Linked DNA regions of Arabidopsis thaliana. The protein of the gene in region 1 purifies or fractionates together with the protein of each later gene. This does not show direct contact. Each region holds a gene or a part of one and is shown in the gene's direction. Other genes may lie near its edges.

Region 1 (4,618 bases):
TTTAGAGCTGACTATTTAAAATTTTAAGAACTAAAAAGAAAGTGGTAGTATAATTTAACAAAAGGATGATGACTCATATGAATAATAGTAGGCAAAAAAAACTTCAAAACCACAATTTCTTGTTTTCACTTAGAACCTTATTCTGCCATAATTACGTTTAGTTAAATTAAGAAAAAATTGCTTAAAACGACAGTACAAGAAGAAGGAAACATTTTCTTTCACTCAAAATCCTATTATCGCGCAACAGAGGAGTCTAAGTGAAATAATACCGTGTCGTTTGCGGATCAGAAATCGAGAGAACCACGTATGTGTCTTTTATGTCCTGGTCAAACGGTTATCCAACACGTGGATCCCAAAACTAGCCACCGACTGCAGCAAGTTTCTCGAACCGATGCACGTGTCCTCGACACGTGGAGACTCCCAAGCACGTCTCTGGGTTATAAATAGCAACCCAATGCTCCAATCATTTTCCATCATCAAACACAAAACAATCAATCAAAAACATAAAATTCAAAGTGTAAGCAAAACCAGAACGAGAGAAAATGGACAACAAGCAAAACGCGAGCTACCAAGCCGGTCAAGCCACTGGCCAGACTAAGGTCTCTCTCTCTCTCTTTCTTTTGTTACACATTTCGTATCAATTTGTTGAAATATATGTAAAAGATCTCTACATTTCTAAATTCATATAGTTTTCCCGCAAATACTTACGGATTACGATAGGGTGTTCTTTTTAGACAAGGTTGATCTAATAATGTATAATGTTAAACTTATGTGAATATAGGAGAAGGCCGGTGGAATGATGGACAAGGCCAAGGATGCTGCTGCTTCAGCTCAAGACTCCTTGCAACAGGTTCAGTTTTGATTCTTTCATTTCATTTTGCTCCCTTGTAGTAAAACCATAATATTGAACTTTTAAATCAAATTGTGAATTGTAGACTGGACAACAAATGAAGGAGAAGGCGCAAGGAGCTGCTGATGTCGTCAAGGACAAGACCGGCATGAACAAAAGCCACTAAGCAAGCACCTTGGACTTCTTTTCTAATTAATTCCCCTCTTCGACTTGTGTTTAATAAATTTGGGGTTTTAATTCTCATTCCTGCTACTTTCTGATGTTGTTTCCTTGCGTCCATTTGGATCTTTATGTAATCTTATCTATCTAGTTAATAAAAGTATGCTTTTTAATATCATGAATGTGGAAGAAAAAAGGGAGTGGGTTTCAGTGTTCAAGTATAAAGTAACAACTAACAACTTCAAAGAATATTAGATCAATGAAAGTAAGTATCAAACAATGTATATATCTTATAGTGTTAGTTTGGAAATTTTATCCAAAATGAAGATAATTTGGAACGTTAGATGAAGTTTTGTTCCTCAAATAACTTTGGAACCTTCAGTTTTTTATATATCATTGGAAATTTAGTGAGAAAACATGATTGGATCAATTCTCTTACTAAAACATTTCAAGAGTATAAGGAATTATTGATTGAGCACAAAAAGACATGGTCATATTTTCCTAATCGCTGTGGAGGATAAAATTATCTAAATAAAAAAATGTTGTGGCTAAAATGAAAATTACAAAAAGTTGGAGGATGACAGCTTAAAAATACTCGACCTTCCGTCTTGGTCAGAGGTTTAGTCTAAAGCCCTAAACATTTCCTCTCTCTCTTGCGCCATTGCTGCTCCATCGTTCCCATTCGTAAAAATCCAAACTTTTTGTTCAAAATCAAGCCAAACTCTAGTGTTGTTGTAGCTTAGATAGACATTAAGGATGAGGTATCAATGGCGATCGCTTCTTTTCCGGAGCTACCGTTCGTCTCCTCGTCCATTTCTTTCTCATCACTCGCGGTTCCAGGTAATCTCCAATTCGACTCGATCTTTCTCTTCTTTCCTCCACGAACGTTTTGGAGTGCAACAAAGACAGTGTCTTTTTGCCTTGCGATCGCCATTGGCGAGCTCTGTTAGCCGACGCTTTTCATCTGAGTCTGCGATAGAAGAGAAACTTCCTGCTGAGACTGTTGTGATTGATGTTTTTAGCAGATTGAATGGTAAGGATGAGATTACGAAAGAGCTGGATTCGAATGATGTTGTGATTAGCCATGAATTAGCATTGAGAGTTCTGAGGGAACTTGAATCAAGCCCTGATGTTGCGGGGAGGTTTTTCAAATGGGGTTTGGAGGCTTATCCTCAAAAACTTTCTTCCAAGAGTTATAACACGATGCTGCGTATTTTTGGTGTTAATGGATTAGTTGATGAGTTTTGGAGGTTGGTTGATGATATGAAGAAGAAAGGGCATGGTGTTTCAGCTAATGTTAGGGACAGAGTCGGTGACAAGTTTAAGAAAGATGGACTAGAAAATGATTTGGAGAGGCTGAAAGAGCTATTTGCTTCAGGTTCTATGGATAACTCTGTTGACAAGGTTTGCAATAGGGTGTGTAAGATTGTGATGAAGGAAGTGTGGGGTGCTGATGTAGAGAAACAGCTAAGGGATTTGAAGCTCGAGTTTAAAAGTGATGTGGTAAAGATGGTTTTGGAAAAACTTGACGTGGATCCGAGGAAAGCTTTGTTGTTCTTTAGGTGGATTGATGAGTCTGGAAGTTTTAAACATGATGAGAAGACGTATAATGCTATGGCCAGGGTTTTAGGGAAAGAGAAGTTTCTTGATAGGTTTCAGCACATGATAGAAGAAATTAGGAGTGCTGGTTACGAGATGGAAATGGAGACTTATGTTAGGGTTTCAGCAAGGTTCTGTCAGACTAAAATGATTAAAGAAGCTGTTGAGTTGTTTGAGTTTGCAATGGCAGGTAGCATTAGCAACACACCCACCCCACACTGCTGCAGTTTACTGCTCAAGAAAATTGTCACTGCAAAGAAATTGGACATGGACTTATTTACAAGAACTTTGAAAGCTTATACTGGGAATGGCAACGTTGTGCCGGATGTTATGCTGCAACATGTCCTCAAGTCTTTGAGAAGCGTTGATAGGTTTGGACAGAGCAACGAGGTGTTGAAAGCGATGAACGAAGGTGGATATGTTCCTAGCGGTGATTTGCAGAGTGTGATTGCATCAGGACTTAGTCGTAAGGGCAAGAAAGATGAAGCAAACGAACTTGTGAACTTTATGGAAGCTTCTGGAAACCATTTAGATGATAAAGCAATGGCATCTTTAGTTGAAGGGCACTGTGATGCTAAAGATCTCGAAGAAGCTTCAGAGTGTTTCAAGAAGATGATTGGGAAAGAGGGAGTCTCTTATGCAGGTTATGCATTTGAGAAGTTGGTACTTGCTTATTGCAACAGTTTTCAGGCAAGAGATGTATACAAGCTTTTCAGTGAGCTAGTGAAACAAAATCAGTTGAAACCTTGGCACAGTACATACAAAATTATGGTGAGGAATCTGTTGATGAAGAAGGTAGCAAGAGATGGTGGGTTTGAAGAAGCTTTGAGTCTTCTACCTATGATGAGAAATCACGGGTTCCCTCCTTTCGTGGACCCGTTCATGGATTACTTATCGAATAGTGGAACAAGCGCAGAGGCTTTCGCTTTTCTGAAGGCTGTGACTTCAAAGAAGTTTCCATCTAATTCAATGGTTCTGCGTGTATTCGAAGCTATGTTGAAGTCTGCAAGGCATAGTGAAGCTCAGGATTTACTGTCTATGTCCCCAAGTTATATCCGTCGCAATGCAGAAGTTCTAGAACTTTTCAATACCATGAAACCTGAAAAATGTTCTTTAGAGAAACCTTTGCCTGCTCCTGCTCAAATTGAAGCTTAATTCATTATATGTTGTTTTCTTTTGTTTCTGGACGTGGTGATTCAAAAAGGACAATCACTTACTCGACTCTAATCGCTATAATTTTCTTCATATAGCGGCGATGTGGGACTTTTGAAGATTGTTAGTAGCTTAAATGGGCTTATTTAGAAAAAGGCCTCTGCCTCTTTTCCATCGTAAGCCAGTTTACATTACTAATCTTTCCCCAACTTAAGATTTTATCATTTGGTCTTGTGGGCTTTTTAGCAAAAGGCCTATTTATCAATCTTGTTGTCTATGTTGTCTCTTAGCTTTGTTTTTTCTCTATTGACCTTTAATCCAAAGAGTTTACAGAATTCATTAGTACTCTAAAGATTTGGTATTTTGTTTCTTATAAAGTACACATTATGTATTTACATATCGGACAAAATAAACACATATACATATGTGTATCGTAATAAATAAATTAATCATGCGAACAAAGGAGCATCATCACACATCTTCTAATGATGTAGATCCTCCCCTTTTGTTCTTTCAGATATTTCCCGAGTCTTCTACTTTGGGATTTCTTCTCCTTTCTCTTCAAGCTCATGATGCTTTCCATATCCAGTTGTGTCCCTAAGAAACCAGTTGATATAACAATGATTGTATCGGAAATACTAAAAAGTTGGTGAGACTTTACACCACGACGAATCCCTCGAAAAAACTTGGTCTAGATTGTTTCCGAGCAGGAATCTTCTATGATATTAACTATTAATTAAGAGAGTGTGATATTGTGAAGAATAAGAGAACTTTGGAAGATAAGTGATTTAATGGAGAAGATACTTGTTCGAGTGAGTTTTTATAGGGAGAAGTTATTGTCTGCATTCTACAGTAACT
Region 2 (4,525 bases), 5.9 Mb from region 1:
ATGTTGGAAGTCCCTTGGCTGATCCTTTAAAGAGGTTCCCTTCCCTTCCTCTTTCATATGGTTCTCCTCCATTGCTGCCATTTCAAAGGCGCCATAGCTGGAGTTTCGATCGTTACAAGGCATCTCCACCTTCTGTTTCTTGCTCACCATCGCCTACACGCTCGGATTCACATGCATTGGTTTCACATCCTTGCTCTCGTCATCTTCCTCCTCACCCTTCTGATATACCCACTGGTCGTAGGAAGGAAAGCTACCCCGAAGAGTATTCTCCTTGTCAAGATTTCTCCCCTCCTCCTTCTCCTTCAGCACCAAAACACGCCGTCCCAAGAGGCATCACACGTACTGAAAGTGCTCCAGTCAGAATACCAGCTCCAACTTTCCAGTCCAAAGAAAACGTTGTGGCACCTTCTGCTCATCTGAAGTTGTCGAGACACGCTTCGTTGAAGCCTGTGAGAAACTTGGGTCCTGGTGAATCTGGAGCAGCAATAGATAAGGTAAACGTACTCCACATGTCTTATCTTTTATCTGTTTTCTTGATCATGTGACTTAACGAGTTAAACTGATATTCATTATCCTTCTAGCTGTTTCTTTATGGGAGAGATGACTTTAGAAGACCTTCTGGGGTGAGGCCGTCTTCCAGCAGTTCTCCGCGGATATCATTTTCCCGGAGTTCCAGTAGATCTTTCCAAGACGATTTTGATGATCCTGATTTCCCTTGCCCATTTGATGTTGAGTATGATGATATTACAGATCGGAATAGCAGGTATGGTCTTAAAAACCTTACATATCTCATTTTCTCCTTTCCAATTTATCTACAGCCCAAGCATTTAATATTTTGATTGCTTTAGGTTGTCCTTCTAAGTGGATAGCTATTATATTTCAAAACCAATTGACTTTCTAAATAAGTGATTTACTAATCCTGGCCTCTTATGCTAATCAGTAGGGCTTAAGAAGCTAGTTCATGTTCTTTCTTTCTTTGAGATTTTACAGCCATAAGACCGAAATGGTTACTGTAATGCTTCTGTATCTGTGTAGCTTCGATCAATCTTGGGGTATTCTTGTACTGATCTTTTAAAAAGAAGAAAGAGAACTGTTTAGTAGAGAAACCAAGAAATCGTAACTCTTCTCTATCACTAATATCATGATATATTTGGGGATAATAAGTTAATCATATAATGACTTGAAATGGTTCGTCTCAAGGTTTCTGATTCAGTTCTTGAGACTTTGTTTTGTAACTGTTTCCAGTAGAAGAAACTGATTTTTGGTTTACTGCCTTATTTCAGACCAGGGTCGTTTGACCACAGAGGAGACATACATGAACCATTCGATTCAAGCGGGTCATACCCGAAGAAGTCCCAAGATGCTGCAGTTGGTGCCCTTGTGAGAATGCTGAAGAAAGCGCCACCTCTCAGACAAGATGTCTCTGAATCTTCCAGACCTGAAATTTGCTCGAACAACAACAAACCCGCAGGGGCTCATGAGATAGCAGTAGCGTCTATCACAGCCTCGGGGATTGCTCTGGCCTCAAAGACAACAGCTGATGCTTTGGAAGAGTTGAGGTCTTACAAAGAAATGAAGAATCATTTGTTGCTTGGTCAATCCACATCAAACCCTTCCTCGGTTACTATTACTTCACCCTTTGATGTTTGATGTTTCAGAATCTTGACCCATTTTGGGTTTCGGTTTGTTTTTTTTTTTTTTTTTTTTTCATATAATGTGTGCCTATGTAAATAATATTAAGCTCTCTACTCTTTGGATGATATTGGTCCATGTAAATAAACTTATACCCAGGAAAAAAAGAAAAAAAATTCCATGTAAATAAAATGGTAAACATATGTTAACTACTATTTATAATCATTACAAAGCTTTCATTTGTTGTCAACTAATATGAAAGCTTTCTACAATTTCTTATTTCATTTTCCAAATCAAATTTAAGAACTCTCAGACAAAAATAATATATATAGCAACACGATGTCGTTTTCACTAAAAAAAACTTAACAACACGTCGCCGTTTGGTAATGACCCAATCGGCGAAATCTGAGAAGACTAAAACCCTAAGGTAAACCTGAGAGAACAAGCCAGAGCTAATCTCTTGTCGGAAGGAAGAAGGATCAAAAATGCCGCTCTACGACTGTATGCTTCTGTTCAAGCCTATAATCAGGAAGGAGGGCCTCATCGACCTCGTTGCGCGCATTGGTAAACACGTTTACAGCAGAAATGGCGTCCTCACCGAGATCAAATCCTTTGGCAAGGTCGAATTGGGTTACGGTATTAGAAAGCTCGACGGAAGACACTATCAGGTATTCAATTTCGTTAGTTTTCTTACTGAATCGATGGTTTATGAGTCCGTAGAGTTTGTTTGATCAGGATTTTCTCCAGGCCGATTCAATGGTATTAGCATTTTAGTTTAGGTTTGTGTTAGCTTTGTCTTTTTCATCTTTCTGATCGATTCTTATGGTTAGATAGCTAGATTTTGGGAATTTATACAGTCATTTTACTCAAATGCTTGCTACGACCATGGACTGATACTTCTTTCGCCCAGATTACTTACGCTTAGTTTAACTTTCAGTTGGATTCTTGAAGCAAAATCATCATATTGTTACTAGTAAAGGTTGTTTTTGCGTGATTTTGTCTACCCGATTTATAAAATCCTGATGAGGATAACAGAACAGTAGGATTCTAGAATGGTTCCTATCTTAGTCAATTGTTCAAAGAGCTTGATTTTGCTTTGGATCTTCAGTGTGGAGTTTGATTATTAGTTTGATGCTATAACCGTAGATAGATAAGCAATCTTATTATTAGCATTATGTTTTAGGTTGGCCTTTCGAAAAAGCTTTGTGTCTTGTAACTTTCTGATTGATTCTTATGGTTAAATAGCTGGACTTGGGGGAAATTATGCGGTCTTGTACACAAATACTGGCTACGATCCTGAAGTGATACTTGTTTTGTGATTTCTTACTAGTCACAAACGTTGCGTTTAGTCTATGGTATTTTGTAGATTTTCATTTCCTCGACAGTGTTTCCTTTCGAACTTAAGATTCCAGAAAATCCTGATGAGGGTAATACAACAGCTAGGATTCTAGATAAGTTCTTATCTACTGAATTGTCCAAAGAATTTGATTGTGCTTTGGATCTTCAGTTTGAAATTTGATTACTTGTAAGATAACCTGGTACAAATAATCGCAGCTTTCGCTTATACATTTTCTTCAAACTGTTTCTGTTATTAGACAATTTGGCTATATAGGAACAGAAGGAGAATATATAATTCATACATACCTAGGAAGTAACGGGATACATTTGTTTCGATCAACTATAGATGTAGGATTATCATATGTTTTGAGAGTATCAGTACAAAAGCTTTAAACATCAATCTCCTATGTATTTTTGATAGAATCTGCAGAGAGTGAAAATTGAACATCCACTTTTATTAGCTTTCCTCTCTTACTAATCTGCAGAGTCATGCGTTTGCTAAGTGTTTTCTGCCTTCATATCGGGTGAATGTTTTGCAGGGACAATTGATGCAGATAACAATGATGACAACTCCAAACATGAACAAGGAGCTTCACTACCTGAACAAGGAAGACAAACTGCTGCGCTGGCTCTTAGTTAAACACCGTGACATCAAGATTGGACAGTCGGAAAAGGAAGATAGTCTGACTGTGCCTAACAGACTCACTAGTGGGAGCTTATATGATGGATCCTCCTCGGACGAAGATGACAACAACATTTTAGGGTTATCACGATGAGGAAATCAATTTCTTTGAAATGTTTACTCAGACAATTTCTTCATGGGAGTCCCCTTCAATGGTTATGAATGTTTTTGGTTACATGAAGTGGTGGTATGCGTTTTGCGTAGACAATGAAATAAATTAATTTTATGTAATAATAATTTTTAGGTAAATTGAACTAAATTTCATGTGTTTTATTGTTTTCGCTATTTTCCTAGTGGATATTCAACGTCATCAATTGGGTTGACAACCCCGAATTAAATGCCACGTGTATTGACACGTCATATTTGCATGGGGAGAGCGTTTCTCTGTTTTTAGGACTTGGAAAAATTATCATTTCTAAAAATTAATATTGGGAAAAAAGAAGGAAATTAAAATAGAGGTGGTGGTTCGTAAATGAGCTAAGAACAAACACTTGTTATAATTTCCCGTGTCGCTGCATCTTCTTCTTCATCCATCGATTTCTCTCAATTAGGGTTCTGATTTTTCTTCCCATTGTTGTTCTCCTTCTCCGTTTCGTCTCAATTACAGAACAAAGCTTCGTTTCTCCAGGTATAATCGAAACGTCAGAATCTTATTAATACAAATTTACGCGATTCTGTTGCCTTATACCGTTTTTTTTTTTGAGAGAGAAAATCTTTTAATCGTGTGTTTTCTATGTTCATATGAATGTATGCATTGATGTGAATGTATATGAATGTATACTCATGTATGCATTTTTTTTTTCTCCTCTCAAAATTATGAAATAGTTCATGTCAATTGTTTATACCTGTGTCGAATGTGGATATTTTGACAGA

Evidence for each region. The genes of interacting proteins can lie anywhere in the genome.
Region 2: the proteins of AT3G02490 (region 1) and AT3G18760 fractionate together in Arabidopsis thaliana (co-fractionation; one large-scale study listed by BioGRID). This does not show direct contact.

Annotation. Positions count from the first base shown.
Region 1 is NC_003074.8:511,842-516,459, forward strand, and holds AT3G02490 (Pentatricopeptide repeat (PPR) superfamily protein), read left to right. Parts: upstream 1-1,636; 5' UTR 1,637-1,765; coding exon 1,766-3,763; 3' UTR 3,764-4,084; downstream 4,085-4,618. Other genes in the region: AT3G02480 (Late embryogenesis abundant protein (LEA) family protein), read left to right, coding at 543-599, 782-850, 936-1,016; RTFL19 (ROTUNDIFOLIA like 19), read right to left, coding at 4,206-4,343.
Region 2 is NC_003074.8:6,457,151-6,461,675, reverse strand, and holds AT3G18760 (Translation elongation factor EF1B/ribosomal protein S6 family protein), read left to right. Parts: upstream 1-1,950; 5' UTR 1,951-2,117; coding exon 2,118-2,300; intron 2,301-3,509; coding exon 3,510-3,746; 3' UTR 3,747-3,999; downstream 4,000-4,525. Other genes in the region: AT3G18770 (Autophagy-related protein 13), read left to right, coding at 1-494, 582-763, 1,284-1,650.